3 linked regions of the Arabidopsis thaliana genome follow. The protein of the gene in region 1 binds, or shares a complex with, the protein of each later gene. Each region holds a gene or a part of one and is shown on either strand. Other genes may lie near its edges.

What was found. Proteins that work in one complex are often made in the same cells at the same time.
Region 2: TAF5 (region 1) and TAFII59 share a complex: the UniProt entries of both Arabidopsis thaliana proteins name them as parts of the TFIID complex.
Region 3: TAF5 (region 1) and TAF4B share a complex: the UniProt entries of both Arabidopsis thaliana proteins name them as parts of the TFIID complex.

The regions. Positions count from the first base shown.
Region 1 is NC_003076.8:8,675,391-8,682,995, reverse strand, and holds TAF5 (TBP-associated factor 5), read right to left. Parts: upstream 5,948-7,605; 5' UTR 5,880-5,947; coding exon 5,704-5,879; intron 5,391-5,703; coding exon 5,309-5,390; intron 5,224-5,308; coding exon 5,145-5,223; intron 5,029-5,144; coding exon 4,931-5,028; intron 4,833-4,930; coding exon 4,776-4,832; intron 4,660-4,775; coding exon 4,572-4,659; intron 4,479-4,571; coding exon 4,369-4,478; intron 4,242-4,368; coding exon 4,134-4,241; intron 4,056-4,133; coding exon 3,904-4,055; intron 3,722-3,903; coding exon 3,611-3,721; intron 3,537-3,610; coding exon 3,467-3,536; intron 3,378-3,466; coding exon 3,341-3,377; intron 3,193-3,340; coding exon 3,037-3,192; intron 2,948-3,036; coding exon 2,871-2,947; intron 2,775-2,870; coding exon 2,658-2,774; intron 2,241-2,657; coding exon 1,975-2,240; intron 1,511-1,974; coding exon 1,415-1,510; intron 1,327-1,414; coding exon 1,254-1,326; coding exon of another isoform or gene 1,209-1,253; exon of another isoform or gene 995-1,208; coding exon 938-994; and 2 more. UniProt on the Arabidopsis thaliana protein: TAFs are components of the transcription factor IID (TFIID) complex that is essential for mediating regulation of RNA polymerase transcription.
Region 2 is NC_003070.9:1,402,585-1,409,074, forward strand, and holds TAFII59 (TATA BOX ASSOCIATED FACTOR II 59), read right to left. Parts: upstream 4,948-6,490; 5' UTR 4,845-4,947; exon of another isoform or gene 4,622-4,844; 5' UTR 4,601-4,621; coding exon 4,475-4,600; intron 4,375-4,474; coding exon 4,288-4,374; intron 4,059-4,287; coding exon 3,957-4,058; intron 3,864-3,956; coding exon 3,755-3,863; intron 3,474-3,754; coding exon 3,373-3,473; intron 3,297-3,372; coding exon 3,159-3,296; intron 3,072-3,158; coding exon 2,976-3,071; intron 2,651-2,975; coding exon 2,526-2,650; intron 2,166-2,525; coding exon 2,033-2,165; intron 1,743-2,032; coding exon 1,617-1,742; intron 1,529-1,616; coding exon 1,022-1,528; 3' UTR 1,012-1,021; intron 857-1,011; 3' UTR 501-856; downstream 1-500. Other genes in the region: AT1G04945 (HIT-type Zinc finger family protein), read left to right, coding at 1-67; AT1G04960 (golgin family A protein (DUF1664)), read right to left, coding at 5,437-5,616, 5,874-5,930, 6,033-6,110, 6,213-6,245, 6,347-6,421. UniProt on the Arabidopsis thaliana protein: TAFs are components of the transcription factor IID (TFIID) complex that is essential for mediating regulation of RNA polymerase transcription. Required for proper pollen function. May stabilize the interaction of TFIID with selected promoters.
Region 3 is NC_003070.9:9,642,851-9,648,963, reverse strand, and holds TAF4B (TBP-associated factor 4B), read left to right. Parts: upstream 1-1,587; coding exon 1,588-1,629; intron 1,630-1,639; exon of another isoform or gene 1,640-1,748; coding exon 1,749-1,815; exon of another isoform or gene 1,816-2,085; coding exon 2,086-2,318; intron 2,319-2,408; coding exon 2,409-2,510; intron 2,511-2,762; coding exon 2,763-2,823; intron 2,824-2,953; coding exon 2,954-3,660; intron 3,661-3,886; coding exon 3,887-4,011; intron 4,012-4,163; coding exon 4,164-4,251; intron 4,252-4,336; coding exon 4,337-4,475; intron 4,476-4,567; coding exon 4,568-4,623; intron 4,624-4,709; coding exon 4,710-4,766; intron 4,767-4,845; coding exon 4,846-4,968; intron 4,969-5,057; coding exon 5,058-5,108; coding exon of another isoform or gene 5,109-5,123; exon of another isoform or gene 5,124-5,192; coding exon 5,193-5,352; intron 5,353-5,461; coding exon 5,462-5,613; downstream 5,614-6,113. Other genes in the region: STZ (salt tolerance zinc finger), read left to right, coding at 1-662; AT1G27710 (Glycine-rich protein family), read right to left, coding at 5,776-6,113. UniProt on the Arabidopsis thaliana protein: TAFs are components of the transcription factor IID (TFIID) complex that is essential for mediating regulation of RNA polymerase transcription.

The sequences.
Region 1 (7,605 bases):
AAATAATATTGTATGATATAGTTCTGAGTCTGTCCAAGATTATTTTTATGCACACACTAGTATAAAAATATGGTAAAAATGGACTAGATATGCATCATGTTAACTTTATTTGTTTTCGAAAAAGTAATGAGAAAACTGACCGGGAGAGATCTCATATAAGAAGATAACGAGTACCACATTCCCACATATAATTCCAAATGTAGACAATTGTCTAGTCACACAACCAAATCTACTTTTGGTAGATTTTATGTCTCATCCAAAATTTTGATGCAAATGTCTTTCAAAACATGTTTTTTTCTTTCTTTTCTTCTTCAGCTCTCAATTTTATTTTATTTTTGTCGTCAGCTCTCTATTTATTTAAGTACCGTCTCTAGAAATTAGGAGAATTAAATGTTTTCACAAAATAAAAAATATGTTAGTATCTGAAAAGTTTCTAAAAAATATGTTCTCTAAGAAAAAACATAATTCACAACATACCACATAACCACCCACCCTGTCTTAAGAAAGATTTCTCTCGACACACGATGTCTTTTTGGGGAGATTCATTACATGTTTCTATTTTATTAACGTTATAAATTTTGAGAATATTTGGTTGTTGTTCTTTGCCTTATTCATTTCGAGTAGGTTTTGATTCATGATAGAGGTGACATGCTTAAACTAGGGTGTTTATTAGAAGGAAGAATGTGGCTTTGACATGCTTAAAGTAAATCTGCTCCAAGTCGAAGATAAGTGATTCCTGGATTGGGACACATGGCATACATAAGCAGGAGTAGTTGTTCATTAAAAGAATCTTCAACATTTTTGGGATTTAGAAATGAGAAACAAAAGCCACAAGCAAATAATCTTTGGAGATAACTATTCTACACCTGATTTCTTCTGAGATCTACAACAGCTTGTAAGAATGTTAAAGCATCAATATCTGATACCATTGTTTTGATCAGTTTGCGGGTTTAGAGATCGCTCCTGCAGCAAACAACAAATTTCTCCGAGAAAACTGCATCAATGTAAAACATGAGTTTTAGTGTATGCCTCGATCAACGAATCCTAGGTGTTAGAGGAAAGGTTCTATATGATACTGATGGATAAAATCTGTTTGGCACACACCCTGAAACTTTGGTTCTAATCAAGTGTTTGGTCACTCATTATCGGGATGTGTTGATCACAAGCACAACATGATAAACTTAGGGATGAGAGAAATACCACGGTGTTTAGAGAATGGTGGAATTAATTCTAGTAAAGAAAGCATAACTTACCCGGAGAGCGTGAACTGGTGTGGACTTGGTGGGGAAAGTCCTGAGTGAGCGCAATCTGTTCGAGTTTCCATTCCTGATCAATCACAAATGATAAATCGTTTTTAACAAAACAATCTACCATTCAAAGGGAACAACAATACAACTTGAAAGAGCAAACTCACTTTTCCTCGGCCTTTGTCAATTTGGTACTTGAAGTGACGTCCCACAGTTTCACTGTGCAGTCTGCGGATCCAGAAGCCAGAAGAGAGCCCTCCCCGCTGAAACAGGAAAACAGGTTAGTCATAAATTGTAGTAGTTCTATGATTTATCAAAGTGGAGTTTACGGTTCCAATATTCCAAGCAAGTGGATTTTACCAACCAAAACCAGTCATTCCATTAACGACCCAACACATTAGGCCTATACAACATTCCACAACCCATGACAAGAACCCTATGTTAGAGCTAACACAAGAGTGCGTGGATATAGAAAAATCTACCAGTTCAGTAGTAAGTCACTGTAGAATTAATAGAAATAGCCACACCATACCACTCTATATCATAACCCTGAACTACCCTTTAAAAAATGTTGTCCTAGAAGAAATTCCAGAGATGATAAAGCATATCAACCAAAACCAATAGTTGGCTGAAAAAAGGATCATATTACGTTTTCATTGTGTATTACTAACTCAATAAAAGTTGAATGATCAAATAAAGCTATTTTCTTCTTCTCTTGACACCTCACCTGTATGAGAGACTCCAGACACATGAATTATGGCCCATGAGAGGAGTGATGCAGCGAGCAGTTGAGAGGTCCCACATCATTATAGTGCCATCTTCATCACCGGAAGCCATATATCTCCCATCTGGAGACATCGCCAATGATAAAACCATACTCCTGTGCCCAATGAATATCCGGACACATTCTCCAGTTTGCACATCCCAGAGTCTAACCGTCTTATCACTACTACCGGTAGCAATGTAGTTACAATTGGGATGCCACTGTACACACTGAAATCAAATGCATTTGACAAGTACAACGAAAGTCGCATCAATAGGTATCCAAAGAAAAATTGAAGTTACTGATCTGACTTAATGTCAATCCAAATAGTTAAGTAATCCATCGTAACCTTATGACTTTAAGCGTATTGGCTAACAATCTTTGGATCAACTATAAACTGGACGATTCTTAAATTATGAATGTCAGGGTCACGTTAAAATAACAAGTGGGTACTAATCTAAGTCAATAAACAATGTAAAATGTTAGATAAACCATTGTAAACATTGATACGGTGAATTAATGACTTCAATTGCATAATAAAACGTTTTAAGAAATTTATCCATGCATTTAATTAACAACTCAATTGGTCCCTTCGATTTAACCTTTGCAAATTAAACCCAAACAATGAAGATGAGGGAGACACTCACATCAACATCAGATAGATGCCCTGCCATTATCCGAAGAGGTTGTATTCGGTCCATTGACCAAATCCGTGCAGTACGATCATGAGAACAGCTTGCAAAGTAATGACCGAAAGGGCTAAACTGCACCATAAAATGAGTATATAATATATATACATGTCCAGCCACCATAAATTGCAGGTTATGTAAGAAACATGGGTTAAATTGAATTAACTATACCTGGGCATCCCATACAGGGTAATTATGACCCTTGTAGCACACGAGATTAGCATTTAGTTTTGTGCTCCACAGTCGTACTGCACTTATGAATACAGGGTTGGTAACTAAAAAAGTCTGAACTAATGAGCCAGTGTATGGATTTGTAAAGTGATGGACAGATACATACTTGTTGTATCTGCTGAAGAAGATAGAACAAAATCTCCAGGGGGACTGAAAGTGGCTGAGTAAACTGGCCCTGAATGACCCAGTAATAATGTATAACTTCTTCTGCCATTTGGTCCTATGCTTTGATCACTTGAATCATTTTCAGCCTGCAAAGCACCTGGAACCAGACAGCTTAGTGTCTATAACTCTCATGGAAACAAAAACAATCATTATGAGAAATCAACAAAAATGACAAGCGAAACGTATGAGATAAATATCATTCTTAAACGTGGATGTCAATACAATTTTTCAGAGAATTAACATACCACTGCCAGCTTGTCCTATCTTAGCCATGTCCCAGACCTGAACACCATAATTGTCACTTGGCATCATTTAAGAGAGGAAGAAAACAAAAAAAGGGAAATGTATCCAACCATCCGAGAATAACATACCTTTATTGAAGAATCTGAGAACCCACCAGCAACCAGAGATCCATCATGAGATATAGATGAACAGTTTAACCTGGGGGAGAATAAAAGAGTGAGTAACAAGGTTGCAAATAAGTAGTTAAAATTAGGAGGAGAGGTGGACATTACCCGTTATGAGTATTCACAAATGTATAAAAGCTGACTGATGGCATTGCAACACTACTCAACTGCACACGGTTTCTAAGGTCTTCAAGGATGGATTGCTCTACATCTGTGGACCTGACAGAGAAAACAAGGAGATGGAGCAAAATTGATTTATGTTAAAGGAGGTTGAGTCTTTGACAAATACAAAGACTATGTTCATTTCTCCTAAACAATCATGCATCACCCATAGATATCACATGTTCATTCCTTTTTAATCAAATCCCAACACAAAAAATGGGTAAGGGATTCGAAAGTACATTACTGGCAAGGCAAGTTCTGGTTTTACACGCGGCGCCGGTGACACCGTAATGGTCTCCAGACGTGCAACTTTTGCTGTTGCATTACCCGCTTTGTCCTTCTTCAACTTTTTTAAGGAAGAGCCTTGCTTTCCAATTTCAGTGGATCTTTTCTGTACACAGAATCAATTGACGAGTAAAAACGGGATTTCAGTTCAGAAATTATTGACTAAGTTGAAGCTATGTATCACCTTACTATCATCTGCATCCCCGTCTTTACTTTCTCCTTGTCCCTTCTCAGAATCAGACAGCAGACCTCCTGTCTTCTCAAGGCGATCTTCTAGTGAATCTTCAAGCAACTGTAAAAGAAAAATGCATATGTAGCTATTAACTACGCAAATATGTTATCATCCCTGGGATGAGGCATCAACATGTTATAACTCTGGAAAAATAGAAGAGAAAAGAAACTTTAGGGGAAATACGTACTCCCCACTGTATTTCTTTTTGATTAATGTGATTAGCAGTGTCCTGAAAACTCCCGACAATGGTGACAGCTTCTATGTCATCGGATGAGGAAGTAGGCTGTCCCGAGTAGACTGCAACAAATTATCCATGACCAATTGATTCAATTTTCTACTCAAAAAACTGCTACAAGCTATCGCATATATAAGAGAAAGAAACACATTTACCTTGGAAATTGATGTGCTCGTTAATAATACCAAGCATTAAAGTCGATACTGTACTATGTAGATACTGAAGTAACAGCTCATATGAATACTGCAACATTCAGTAAGCATATTAGAGGTCTGCAGTCACGGAATTCAGTTAATCAGACCAGAAACCTCGAAGCAGTTGCCTATTACAGCTACTAGTCAATTTTCACTCAAGTCTACCTGACAAAACTTGATGTTAACCTTGCTTTTTCTAAGAGAACGAGCAAACTCCATCTCCTGATAAGAACCAAGATCATAAGAAAGATAATAACCAAAAAAAAAAAAAAAAAAATCCATTATCAATATTATATGACCATATAAGGTTTATCATAAACCTCTAGATGAGATGGAGAAAGCACGCCTTCAAGCTTCTGAAGATCCCGTAAGTGTACCATCTCATGATCTTTGCGGAAGCTGTTAAAGAAGGCTCTAGCTGGAATACAAGAGACGTATTATTTCCCACAGTAGCATAAGTCACTGTTTCCAAAAATCTTATACCGAAGGTAAAAAAAATACTCAGTACATCTAATTTGCTATATTGACAAGTACCTTCTTGAGTGTGCCCTTTCCCCACCAGATCCATGTAACAATGAATAAACACAGGATACATCACTCGAAGCAATTCATGCTACAAAATTAGAATCATCTCGTCAGTTCAATTAAGCCTGTCTCTACCCAAAACAGCCAAGGGATACACAAAAAAAAATCCCCACCTTATATAAATCCAGAGAATTATACGCCCATGACCTTAGTTTGCTGTAACCTTCACGGTACCGAGTTGGATCATCTTCTTGTCTGCAAACAAAAGAACAGACATTTCATTACCATTAGCTCTCTCTACATAAGCCATACAAAAAAACCTAATTTCTTGCCACTGAGATGTCATCAAAATCTTAAATTTGACAGATAAACTGATAGAAATATTCACATAAACTTCACCCAGAAAGTGAATTATATTCATTTTTAGATTCTCAAAAACGTTGGAGCTTACATAATTTTTCCTTACGGTTTTCAAAATTCACAAAAGACACTAAAACTTTCCCAAAAATTCAAAACACAATTCGCATTAAGAATTGAAACGAGAGAGAGAGATAGGGAGAGAGATTACTGAGAAAAGGAGCGAATGAGCTTCGTGAGCTCAGGATCGTTATGATAATCGACAGAAGTGAAGGAGCTACCATTATTGTTCTGGTGATGATAAGATTCAAGGTCTTTAGCAGCGCTACTGAATCCTTTCTTCTTCAAGTAGCCCACGACGAACTCGTTGATTTGCTCTGGATCCATTGTTGTCTCTCTCTCTCTCTCTCGATTCAATTTCCTCTCCTAGAAACTTGTATCTCGTCGCTGAAACATCTTCAGTTTTTTAGATTCCGTGTCTCTACAAAACTGGGCCTGTTTCAATGGCCTAATTGTGGCCCAAATATAATAATTTCAAAGTTATGATTAAAACCAGGCCCGTCTATGGGGGTGGCAGGTTGGGCAAATGCCCAGATTCAAAATTTACTAAGAGTTTTTGAATTATAAGCCCATGACCTTACTTTGATGTAAAATCTCATAACCATTTTCTTTTTAAATTACTTGCTTTGGATTCTCTATTTCAACTTAAAGATTGGGACAAGATACCAATATTTATTGTTTGAGTAATTAATTCTTACAGAATTATTGAAAATTATCCAAAAAAATGTTATCTTCTCAAAATTTCTAACTTTTATTTAAAAAAAAAAATAACTTTCCAAAACACCCAGTTTAAAAATATTTAAACAATAATTCTTAAATCAAATGTTACAATGGTTAAACTAAACACTTGCAACAATTTATTGTATATAAGACAAGGTCAGTTATTTCCTCCCACAATGGTTAACTCGTTTTCTAAAAATATATTATAAAATTTTGGATATCAAATAATCAAGAAAAATTCTTTCAAATGCCCTTTTCATGATGCCCCTTTTCAACTCTACCCTTTTGTTTTATCCATTTTTATTTATATTCTCTTTAAATTTTTAATTACCATTTTACCCTTATTTGGAAATTGTTTTAGGTTAACAAAATGAAATATTAATATTTTTTCGCCTAAAATATTCTAAAATAAATTTCCCGCCAAAATTTTCCCGCCAAACCTTTTCGAAAAAAATTCCCACCAAAAATTTTTGAAAAACATTTCCCGCCAAATTTTGTTTTCAAAAATATTTTTCCCGTCAATTTTTTTTTTTGGCGGGAAATAGATTTACAAGGAATTTTAAAAGAGTTTTAAAAGATTTACAAGGCAATTTAAAGGGGTTTTATAAGATTTACAAGGGATTTTAAAAGGGTAATTTACAAGGGATTTTAAAAGGTTTTTAAAAGATTTACAAGGGATTTTTAAAAGGGTTTTAAAAGATTTACAAGAGATTTTAAAGGGATTTAAAAGATTTACAAAGGTCTTTTAAAGATTTTTAAAGGGTTTAAAATTGTTTTAAAAGGATTTTAAAATATTTACAAGGGATTTTAAAAGGGTTTTACAATATTTACAAGGGATTTTAAAGGGTTTTAAAATATTTACATAGGATTTGTAAAGATTTTTAAAGGGTTTAAAAGTGTTTTGAAAGATTTACAAGGGATTTTAAAACCTTTTAAAATTACTTGTAAATCTTTTAAAACTCTTTTAAAATCTCTTGTAAATCTTTTAAAACTCTTTTAAAATCTCTTGTAAATTTTTTAAAACTTTTTAAAAATCTCTTGTAAATCTTTTAAAATCCTTTTAAAATCCCTTGTAAATCTATTTGGCGCTAAAAAATATTTACAAGGATTTTTAAAATATTTTTTTTGGCTGAGGAAAAATTTTTTACGAAAAAAAAATTTGGCGGGAAATTTTTTTGTTGGCGGGAATTTTTTTTTTTGGTTGGAAAAAAGTTTGGCGGAAACTTTTTTTTGGCGGGAAAAAAAATATTTTGGCGCCAAAAAATTGGCGGGAAAATTTCAGTTTCCAATTACATGTTTTTATTAGATGAGGGTAATTTGGTCATTTTGTTCA
Region 2 (6,490 bases), on another chromosome or scaffold:
CCAAAATTTAGATACTGATTTCATCGCTGATGGACTAGATTTAGAAGAAGGGGAAATCGTCGAATGATGGTCATAGTCTTGTTCTGGCAAAAAGGAATTACTCTCTGTGAAACATTTTTGAGGATTATGTTCATGCCTGAAGCTCTCTTGTTCGAGCACATTAGCTATACTTGGTAATAGCCAAAGCTTTTACTGGAATGCAATAAGCCACAGCACTGATGGTCATAAGTTTTCGGTCTGGGCTTTGATCAACAGGTATTTCTTTTGTAGTAAACCAGATTACTAGGCTGTTCTGTGGTTTGTAGCAAACTTGATTGTTTACATACAAGATAGTTAACTTAAGAATGTCTCCGAAACTTTTGTTCAGTCTTATCCTCCTATAGATCCTCATAAATTAATCTTGTTGTCTTTCAGATCTTCTTTATAGTCAATGTAATACAGACCAAACCTTGTAGTTTGCCCAAAAGTTTTCTAGCAACGGACCAGAAGGATCAACAATAGATATAATCTATGAACGGATATTATATGTAAAGAGTAAATAAGCAAGAGAGCATACATGTAAACAACAATATCAAAAATTGCAATCTAGATCATACAGATTTGAAGAGAAATTATTTCATGGATTACATTTGAGAGTAAACAAATAAGTCCACTACGGAATCATTAAAATTCTCTTAATATATACATTGCAACCGGTTCAATTCAACTCAACCCACTCTGCAGGCTCCTAAGGACTTTGAAATCCCTCAAGCTTAAAAAGAAGAACTAAAGAGTTGACCTGAGAACAATGGCACGGATCTAAATGAGTTTATGTATGCCAACCAGACGGCGCTTTAATCTCTCCAAGCCTCCTTCTCTGCTTGAAAATCATCAAACATCTATTTCATTAGCATTAATGTATTGAGTATCATTATTCTTTTGATTTCACATATTTATTGCATTCACGACTGGAACCATGAGTTTTATATCGATGAGGTAAATATCAGGAAGTTGGGGAATAGAATAGCTCACCTCTTATTGGTTAGAGGAATACTGACATCTCTGTAGAAGGGATAAAGGGAAGAATCCTATCACCATAGAGTTCGTGCAGTTTCACCAATAGCCGTCCGGAATCAAGATCATCTTTCCATATCTGATCAAGGATTGCTTTCATGGTAATAGCCCGACTCCTGCCGCTTTCTTTCACCTTTCCATTTCTGCTTTCAGATTCGTTAGCATCAGAGGCTTGTTCTGATGAGGATGGCTGAACAGAGTTTTGTGGCGGATTGTCATTTTCCACTGGATTATCTACTTGCATTGGAGCTGAGCCAGATTGATCTTGTGAATGTACACCATCTGGCCCATCCATGGTTATCAATCTTTTCTGCGGTGATTGGTTTTCTGAAGAATCTACACTCAGCTTCCGCTTGTGGGGATCAGTACTGATTATCTTTCCCTTTCCCTTTCCCTTATGGAGAAAACTTGGTGACGGAGATGGTAAAGGTGGGAAGATTTTAAGCCGGCCATGTATACACAAGCCTGCAGCACGCTGAAAAGAAAAAGGGGGCAAGTCCATCTAAGGATTGTCCACTGAGAATTCTACAAAGATGAAATTTTACAAGGATGTGTTTACTAACCAGCAAGGCTCCATATACACGCCAAGCTTCGTAGATCTTCATCTGATTTTTTTGCTTCTCAGCATTCAATTCAGGTTCGAGAAGACTTAGATATGGTTCGAGATTTGATAGAATAAGAAGGCGTACCTACACAATATATGACATTCAGATGACAACAGATAACAATGCAGGATAGCTGTGCTAAAGTTTTTGGTAGCAGGGGTATCTGATTCACTGGAGTAGCCGTTTAAGACGATAAAAGTCCTAATTTCCCAATAAAATGAATAAGCAAACCCGGAAAAATGGTATGGGCAAATCAAATTGTATCTCAGATTCTGAAAAGTCCCTAGATTGAAGGACAAGCTGGGTAACATTATTTCTCGGTGATATCTGAAATAGCATGCACAAACTTTCTGAAAGGTCAAGGAATGACTTACAACAGTGTGCCCCAAAGCTGCTAATCCTTGAATCGCACCATAGTGCTGAGTCAAAGCCTTCTTTGGGTCCAGCAGTGCATTGACTAAAGTTCTGGTAAGACGAGACTGAAGAGTTATATAAACGGTTCCATACCTGCAAGATTTTATTAAAATCACAGGATTTCAGATGCTAAAAGAATATAAAGGTGAGATATGTAAAATAAAAGTGCGAGACAATGTACCCTTTTAAATAATGAAGAAGACTATAGCAAGTTATTACTAATTGTTGTTAATATAGATCTAACCATTTGTTTTTCAGCTCGAGCAAAAAAGAAGTAGATATCAATAGTAAAGAGATCAAACAAGATAAACTTAGCAGAACATCTATGGATAATCATCTCATGATATTTCCTTATAGAATTTCATTATTAGCTCCAGTAAGAAATCATGTATAGATCCCCACAATCAACCAAAACAAACACAGAGTTCATGACATGAAAGGGAAATAATGAACCTTTTACATATCAGTGAAACCAGATTTGCCGCAAAATCTCTGAGTTCCCAGTGGTTGTCAGCAAATCTATTTCCAAGCTTTCTTGATACAAGGCATGTTACAACAGATGGCATCAACTGGTGCAGCTGGCACCAAAAGAAAAAGTTCACTCAGCTTCATGGTTATGAAACATTGCTCAAACAACCAACTCATTATCCCAAGGCTGGTTTACATAATCTCAATACAGATCAAAGGCAAAACTTGTTGTTATTTCAAGCAGACTGAGAGTACTTAAGCACTCGAGCTTGCAGACCTCGGACAAACACTACCACTAACCATTTGATACCCATTATATAGAATATGTCTAATATAGAACTTGAAGAAACCCAAATCAGAAGCCTAAAGAAAATGGAGCTACATGATTCTACAATTTTTTAGATAGTGGCAAAAGATAATCCAGAGAAAACTTACATAAGGTTCTATGTGTATGTGAGGATTCTGTAGAAGACTTCTAACAATGTGCATTAGATTAAACAGGAGTCGGAAGTCATTTAAGCCATTTGAAACCTGCACAAGTGGAGAAAATTAAAACTGCAAAAACTTAACGTGGGTCTTATTGGTTCACACTAGTTCCTCGGTGGTGCATAATGTTACCTCATCAGCAATGAAATTTGTAAAATATGGAACTAGAGGATGAAGTCCTGAGTCTGAGGCCAAGCTCACTAATGCTTCTTTATACAGAGGAGGATTTGACTTGCTCATTGCAAGTTCAGCAATCTTTTGGAAGTATAACTGTGAAGAGAGAACAACAGATAAGTCCTATGTATGTAAGGATATTACCCTATGATATTTAGACTGCACCATATACCTGAAGTTCCCTAGATAGTACATGCTTCACTGGTAGCCTAACGTCAATAAGAGGTCCGTCTTTTTGTTCATGGATTTTGGTTTCTGCAGGTGCTCTAATGACTAGAGACAACACAAACAAGTGAAAAATATAGTCAAGATAGGAAAGAACAAGGATTTCTTGCTCATGCGGATCCGCAAAACAATAATACAGATGGATCTGAAAATATGTATTTTGATCTTTCAGTAACATCAGTAAGCTCACCACTTAACACGGGGTAACTGTAGAAAGAGGTTTATACACCTCTGAAACGTCATTGTACATACTAATATTTGTTTCATGTTGAAAAATTCATATAATGACTTTACAACTCTAGCCCAGGGCATAAGATTGAGAGACAAACCTTCTAAAGGAGCATTTTCTGGTATAGCTGGTTGCACTCCTTCAATAGCCAGCCAGTGACAAACAATTTCAGTATCAAGGGGAGCTTTTGGCAGCGGGGCTTCGATCACCTAGAATCATGACATTTCTTGAAAACATAAGGAACCCAAAATGAAGAATTTAACTGAAACAAAAAAAACATGCCAGCTTTTCCAACATCTTACATCTTTGAAATCCACTTCTCTGTCATCAGTGTAGAACAAATCGCGATGTCCAATAGCTTTTCTAAAACGAAATGGCCCTCCTGAGGCAAATCCATATATCGGCTGCAATAGATATAATCACTCTCAAAAAGATGCCTTTGATTCAGTTGACTACAATAGTGAAATATGTGAAAGCAATGTGTAACAGATGGTGTTATTCATATGCACCAGTAAAGCCAAACCTCAAAACTAGAAACCATATATCTTTGTCACTCAACTACAAAAACCAGGAAGCTTACACAACCAAAACTCTAGATAATGGGAAGTAAGAAATAGGTCATCGAGTTTGTACCTCAACGTTCCTTAAGTTGAGAGCACCATCTACATCCGAAGCTGTTAAAGTCGTTCTCTTTGAGTGACGCATGCATTTGATAGCTTCCTGAAAGGACATCCAAAGAGAAGGTACAGAAAGATCAATATGCTGATACCAGAAAACTCACCTCAAGAACACAAAGACATGATTAGAAAAAGAAGGTAACCTGCATGATCTCTCGGACACGATACTCAACATCAGGAGCAAGCATAAGAGCAGCTTCAGGTAACAAGTTGGTAATCCCAATACTTTGAGCTATTACCTCAACCGTTTCCTTAGGTACAATGCTCATCTTCCCCAGGCTGCTTATCCACTGTGGCGATACAAGGACACAGAAGAAACATCAACAGTGGTTATATTAAGTAAGAAAAAAGCACAAAAAATCATTGGAACCTCCCAATTAAACCATTGTTGGGCATACACAATGAATCGCAATTCAACAGCCCAGAAGACAAAGGCTGCTTCCATACTCCGTAAAAGTGTGAAATTTGTCCCGTTAACCAAAATTCGAGCACAAAAATAAGTTGGAAATTTACATGAACCGGAGAGGGATTTGCGTTGAGCGACGAAGATCCAGACACTTCACTTGAGAGGAAAGAAGCTCCGATTAACCGATGCCAAGCCTCTTGTTAATATAAGAAGCCGGGCCGGGTTTTTTAATTGCTGTCAAATTCACCCGGTTGGACTATTTCGGGTTAAATTAAATTTGGGCTGTCTCTATATCTATTTTGGGCCAAGGCCCAATAAGAGCGAAATATTTTATTTCTCTGCCAACTAAAGACAATTAATCCTACGAGAAAGGACGAAACAAATGTTTCAAGACAGTAGTTCTGTCTTCTGTGGTAGTTCTTTCTATTTTCTACACAAACAAAATTGATCCAAACACAAAAGGAAAAAGGAGCACAAAAGTCCAAATCAATGAAGACATCAACATACGTGAAAGCCTTAATCACACTCTTTCTTTACAAACATCAAGACCAAATATAATTAGGGGCAAACCAAATTGTTGGTGGATGCAATAACATATGTAGATTTTTCTTCTTTTTACATGAAAAAATAATTGCCAGTCCCAGTATCAGAATTTGGGACGAATACAAGCAATTTCTTTGTATATCAACCAAAATAATATTAGGATAGTCCTGAAACATCCCGTACCCAAGATATTCCACCTGGAAACGCTCTATGAACTCTGCTTCTTCCCGCTGCAGTGACTTTTGTTTTTTCCCCCATCACCATAATTTCTTTCGCCATAACCGGCTTGTGTATTACATTTGCATCCTCTTTGCCTTCCGTCAGAAACCGCAGACCCTGGAGTTTCCATAGTTTTATAGTTTTAGAAAGCCAAAGAAACATCATGACATGAAATCATCAAATAACAGCTACTACCACAAGTATTTTCAGGTTCCAATTTTTATTCGAATAAGCTTGATGAGAGATTGCCTTGAATATATGCAAATTCAAGATCAACCATCTCGTTGAATTTTTTCACTATAAGCAACTTTTTTGCGTCAACAGAATGGAAATGCACATTTATATGATGGAAAAAGGTATAGTAGCATTCTTACAGAGAGAGAAGTATTAGTGGATGGTTTTCCATCAATAGGTAATCTCTCACCAACATCCTAAACCACAAAGCCAGAAACAAGATTTTTTTCATTAAGGCCTATAACTACGTGAAAAATAAGTAAGAAAACGTTTCACTTAATTTGTAAGTTAACACTCACCTGAAATACTTTAGTACTTGTGCTGTCTTTAACGCCTGCAACTTGACATAGATGCCATAGTCCAGAGAGGGTCACATCCTAAAATTTTAACAAAAAAAATATCTGTTTGAGATCAATTAGTTTTAAGAAAATTGATAGCGTGAAGTGGTTTGTAGTATCTAATGGTTGTAGACAAATTACTTGTTTGCTTTCAAGACTTTCAATCTTCCCTTCCTGTAAAAATTTCATATAAGAGAGTAAAGATATATTAGCCCCTTTAAAATATGCATATTAGAGGGCAATGATGCATATTAGAGGGCAATGATGAGACTTACTATTCCAGAAATCATTTCATTAAGTTGCTTAAAATCAAACCCAATTTGCGAAATGCTTGATCTCATCTCAGTAACCTGAATTGAAGCAAGATTCCATGTGAGCATTAGCATTAAAATGAATATCAAAGAAAGGCATAGATGGAG
Region 3 (6,113 bases), on another chromosome or scaffold:
CACCAAGATTAGCTTCTCCGATTCCTCCTTTGTTCGAAGATTCTTCAGTCTTCCATGGAGTCGAGCACTGGACAAAGGGTAAGCGATCTAAGAGATCAAGATCCGATTTCCACCACCAAAACCTCACTGAGGAAGAGTATCTAGCTTTTTGCCTCATGCTTCTCGCTCGCGACAACCGTCAGCCTCCTCCTCCTCCGGCGGTGGAGAAGTTGAGCTACAAGTGTAGCGTCTGCGACAAGACGTTCTCTTCTTACCAAGCTCTCGGTGGTCACAAGGCAAGCCACCGTAAGAACTTATCACAGACTCTCTCCGGCGGAGGAGATGATCATTCAACCTCGTCGGCGACAACCACATCCGCCGTGACTACTGGAAGTGGGAAATCACACGTTTGCACCATCTGTAACAAGTCTTTTCCTTCCGGTCAAGCTCTCGGCGGACACAAGCGGTGCCACTACGAAGGAAACAACAACATCAACACTAGTAGCGTGTCCAACTCCGAAGGTGCGGGGTCCACTAGCCACGTTAGCAGTAGCCACCGTGGGTTTGACCTCAACATCCCTCCGATCCCTGAATTCTCGATGGTCAACGGAGACGACGAAGTCATGAGCCCTATGCCGGCGAAGAAGCCTCGGTTTGACTTTCCGGTCAAACTTCAACTTTAAGGAAATTTACTTAGACGATAAGATTTCGTTTGTATACTGTTGAGAGTTGTGTAGGAATTTGTTGACTGTACATACCAAATTGGACTTTGACTGATTCCAATTCTTCTTGTTCTTTCATTTTAAAAATTATTAAACCGATTCTTTACCACATATTTTACAAACGCGTTGAGTCTTTTTTTTATCTGAATAAGCATAAAGTGACACCACTACAACTCTGTTTTTGGTTCTGTTTTTTTCAAAAAATTTATAACACAATTAAGCATAATCAAGAACGTTCTAGTTTCTACTACCATCCACATATTGTTCTTTCTTATATTTTGGAAAGCTCTAAGCAAATAAAAAGAGTTGTGATATCTTACGGAAGACTGCCAAAGAAAACTCAACTTTCATTTTTCTTTTACCAAAAGAATACCGTAACTTTCAATTGAAAAAAGCCTTTCTTGACGGGTCGTTTGTTTTCTTTAGTAGCACTGTTTAATTAACGTAGATAATCCCTTCTTTAATTTGGTGAATTATCTACGGGAAGTCCAAAACTCAATGGTCATAAACGTGTATCAAAATTCATCTAAAAGTTAATTAATTTTTTTTTGCAAAAGTCTGATGCTAATATGAATAACTGTTTAAGAACTCCAACATTATATTCAAGAAAAATAAATTTTGATATACAAGAACAAGCCCAGTTACCGAAAAGAAGAACAGAACGGCGCGCAGTGTTTTATCCAAAAGAAACAACTACCGAAAAGAAGATCAACAGAACGGCGCGCAGTGTTTTATCAAAAAGAAAAAACGACACGGTGTTCTCGCAGAATCTCCCTTTATATAAAAACTTGCGGAATTTGGAATCTTATTGGATACAACAAATCGTTTCCTTGAAAATTCCCTCTTCGTTTTGAGCTATTGACGTTTGGTACCGCGAGATTCCTCCATGGATCTCTCCATTGTCAAGCTCCTCGAAGAAGACGAAGAGGTTAGGTTTCGAATTTCCCACTCTCATTTTCATTTCCGTACTGTCTGCGAAAATCCACGCGCTATCTTGTTCTGTGGACGAAGCTCCTAAATGTCGATTCCCGCTAATCGTGTCGTTAGGTTGACTCTAAGCATTCGGAAGATGACTTGCAAATGTTTCAGGACTCTCTGATTCGAGATATTGAAGGTTCGTTTTGGACCCTAAAATTCATATGCGAAACTGTGGAATGTATCAAAACAGGGAAATGCCTTTAGATTTCTTTAGTGATTTAGGTTCACGAGTCGTATTTTTGTGGTTTGTCATGTATCTTCATGTTTCACTTGATGTTAACTGTTGAATGTTGATGGATGCAATTAGATTGTTAGTTCTTGATGATGCTTTAGTGACGGTTAGTCATAGAAAAATATTAGAGCATACTCATAATTGATTTTGGTGCTTGAACTCATGTGCCCCAAGGAAGTAACTTGAAGTCTATAAACAATACTACTGGTAATGAATCAGAAAAACCGCAACCTCGGTATATGAAACTGCAGAAGATGAGTAGCAAAGAGACTCCTTGGGTGGAAAAGACTGTTGACCCTGTGAATCATAATCTTAGATTAGCACGAGTTACTGATTTGCTTCGTACCGTGGTAGACCACCAACCCGGCAAAAAGACGCATTGTCTTAACCTGCATTATAAACTCAAGGTGTGGCTTTACAGTTTACATCCATGAATGAATTGGCACTCTGATCGAAGTTTCTTAATACATTACGTTTCTTTTCATACTTGATTGCAGAGAAAAGAACTTACAATGGAAGAGTTCATGCGACAACTGAGAGATCTTGTAGGTGATCAGATAATCAGATCGGTAATTAGCCAACTGCCTCAGTTAAAACCGGTATTACCCTTTCCATTTTCTTAGCATTTATAAGTACTTTAATGATTTTCATTTAGCAGCCTCCAAGAGAGTTTCTTGTTTTATATGCTTCCTTCTCTGTATATGAACATGTGCTGAGAAAGAAATCTCACTTCTGAACCTTATTAAAAAGGAAATAACATAAAGAATTCTCACTTTAATAGTATAAGCTGAATACTTCTTGTCTTGGAATTGTGGCTTACTGGTTTCAGAATGAACTGTATGTGTAACCAGGGAAATATGGGGATCAAAGTACCTGGACGCTCAAACCATGACAAAGTGTCTAAATCTGCTGGTATAACTTATTTAGTTGATGCCATTTACTTTTGCAATTATCATAGATCATCTTAACTTTCTGGTAGATCTTATCTTATGATTTCCTTGTAGCATACAAAACTAATCCCAGATACAATCATTAACTGCAGAATTCACTGCTCAAGAATCTGATCCTCGTGAAGTTCATGTTAACCAACTGTCTTCTACAACTTCAGGCACCTTAAACAGTTCAACTACTGTGCAGGGATTAAATAAGCATCCCGAGCAACACATGCAGCTTCCATCAAGTTCTTTTCATATGGATACCAAATCTGGAAGTCTTAATCCATACCCAGGGACAAATGTCACTTCTCCTGGTTCATCATCGAGAGCAAAGCTCCCTGATTTCCAGCATAGGGAAAACAATCAGAATGTGGGAATAGCCAGTGTTGGAGGACCAACCAAGTCTACAATAAACATGACGACAGTACCCAAGTTTGAGAGGCCAACTTTTGTAAATGGTCCAAGTAGGGTTCAGGATGGTCCTATATCCGACTTCCCAAAGAACTCATCCTTTCCTCTATATTCTGCTCCTTGGCAAGGATCAGTCACCAAGGACCATACAGTGGGACCTTCTTCATCAGTGATCCATGTGGAGCATAAATTGATTGATCAAAGTTTTGAACAGGCACATAAACCTCGTTATTTGGTGCAGCAAGGCGTGACTAATGTTCCACTGAAACAGAAGAATGCTATTCCAATTAGTTCAAATGATGACTTGGAGAAGCAGTCTTCTAAAATGGGTTTATTCACATCAACCACTTCTGCCAGCTCTGTTTTTCCTTCAATGACAACACAGCTGGACTCTAGCACGATGGTAACTTATAAATTATACTTTCAAAAGACAGATTTCAATTTGGTTGATCTTCTCTTTAAGCTCATAGGGGGACCATTTCTCTTCAACCGATGTTGCATTTGGTTTCGTTTTGCTTATATTTTGGACCACCCTGGCTTCTATTTCTCCTTGTACTGGCTTCGAACTTTGGTTGTGAAGAGTAAATGGACTATCTATCTTACGTGAAAATTATTTGTGTACACTTCAGGTTAATATGCCTGCCCCATCTGAGACCATTCCCAAGATTGCTAATGTTACGGTGACACCCAAAATGCCTTCTGTTGGTCAGAAGAAACCTCTTGAGGCACTAGGTTCTTCGCTGCCACCATCAAGGTAATGAGCTGGCTGGTTTGTGAAAGATGAACTACTTACAGCGTCCATAAATTACTCTTCCTTTTTTCTTTGCTTTTCTGATAATATCCTTTTTACCTTACTAACAATTTAGAATTGCTAAATTGAAGTCTTATGTATTTTTTAATATACAGAAAGAAGCAAAAAATATGTGGGACTTCTTCAGATGAAAGTATTGAAAAGTTTAATGATGTCACTGCAGTCAGTGGCATCAATCTCAGGGTATGTTTACGAGTTGCTACACTTCTCATTTTGAACCTGGATATAGAGAAACAATAAACCAAATTACTTTCTGCATCTGTTCTAGGAAGAGGAAAAACAATTATTAGATTCTGGTCCTAAAAAGAACGATCGTGTTTCTAAAGCATATCGAAGACTTGTGCATGGAGAGGAAGAAAGAACGCTTTTGCAGAAAATTCCACTGCAGAGAAAGCTGACAGAAATTAGTTTGTGTTTCAACTCGTATCTTAGCTGCTTCTTTGGTCCTTACTTGGAATCACTTGGAGAAGAAGTTTATGTATGCTTTCATATATGACAGTGGGAAAAAGTGGTTTAAAGCATATAGACCATGATGTAGAGCGGTGCTTGTCTCTGGTGAGATGTTAACACCTTTTCTTGGAATTATTAGCCTTCAATTTCCTGTTTTTGTTTTCGTTTTTCTCATGGCTTTGCGCATTCAGTGTGTGGAGGAGAGGATGCGAGGACTACTGTTTAATATAATACGAATATCAAAGCAGGTCAGTCTACTTTCTCTTCTCATGCCTCCTTAGATCTTGTTGTACCTAAATCTTTCTGAAGTTACAAGAGCTTTTGCAGCGGACTGATGCAGAGAAGTGTAGAAATCGGACTTTTATCACATCTGATATCCGGAAAGAAATTAATGAAATGAATCAGAAGGTGAAAGAGGAATGGGAAAAGAAACATTCTGGAGAAGAAAAGGTAATGGTTTGTCCTGAGCTTAATATCTATTTGTCTTAGTTATCAGTAGTAATGTCTAGTTTTTTTTTTTTGTATATTCATTGATGTAGAACAAAGAAAATGATACTGAAAAAGAAGACCAACGTTCAAACGAAGTGAAGGTATTTAGAACTTGAGCCAACTACCTAAACCTTTGGAGATATACACATACGTACACTGAAAGAGGTTTATTGATCACAAGTCAGGCAAATAAGAAGGACGAAGATAAAGAGAGAGCCAAGGCTGCAAATGTTGCTGTTCGTGCAGCCGTTGGAGGAGATGATAGGTTTTCAAAATGGAAACTTATGGCTGAAGCACGTCAGAGATCTTCTCCAGGGCCAGGAAGAAACTCCAAGAAACTTTCTGGTAAGATTGGTAATCCCGTTTCTATGATCTGAAAGAGTAAATCTCTCAGTTCTGTTGCTGGTTATTCTTGTGTTTCGTGCTCCTAATTGCATATTCGAACTTTATGTAGGTGGTACACAATTTGGGAAGAACCAAGGTTTACCAAAAGTAGTCCGGTCAATCTCTGTGAAGGATGTGATCGCTGTGGTGGAAAAGGAGCCTCAGATGTCAAGATCGACGCTATTGTATCGCGTATACAATAGAATCTGCTCGGATGTTTGAAACCAAGAAAAGACATAGGACCAATTCTTTATTTTTTTTTGTAGAAAGGTTCTTATTCCATTAAAACTAATGCCATTACAAACTCCTAAACATGATCAAGATGCTAAAGTACATCCTTATTTCTTCTTCCTTTCACTACCTAAAGCAAGCTGCATGTTTTTTCTAGTTTTTGCCTGATCCCTTCGTGCTGACTCCGCCGTGTCCATATCCTCCTCCACCACCACCGCCTCCGCTGCATGAACCTCCGCATCCTCCACCACCACCGCCAATGATGACTCCACCACCAATACCTCCTCCACCACCAATACCTCCTCCACCTGACCCGTATCCTGGACCACCACCTCCGTTGCCTCCATCCCAACCCAAACCACCACCTGAACCATACCCGGCACCTCCACCAAATCCACCACCGATTACAACACCACCACCGCCGCCACCTGGACCGTATCCACCACCACCATATCCCGGGCCTCCACCGCCGTAGCCACCAGCTGTGAGTT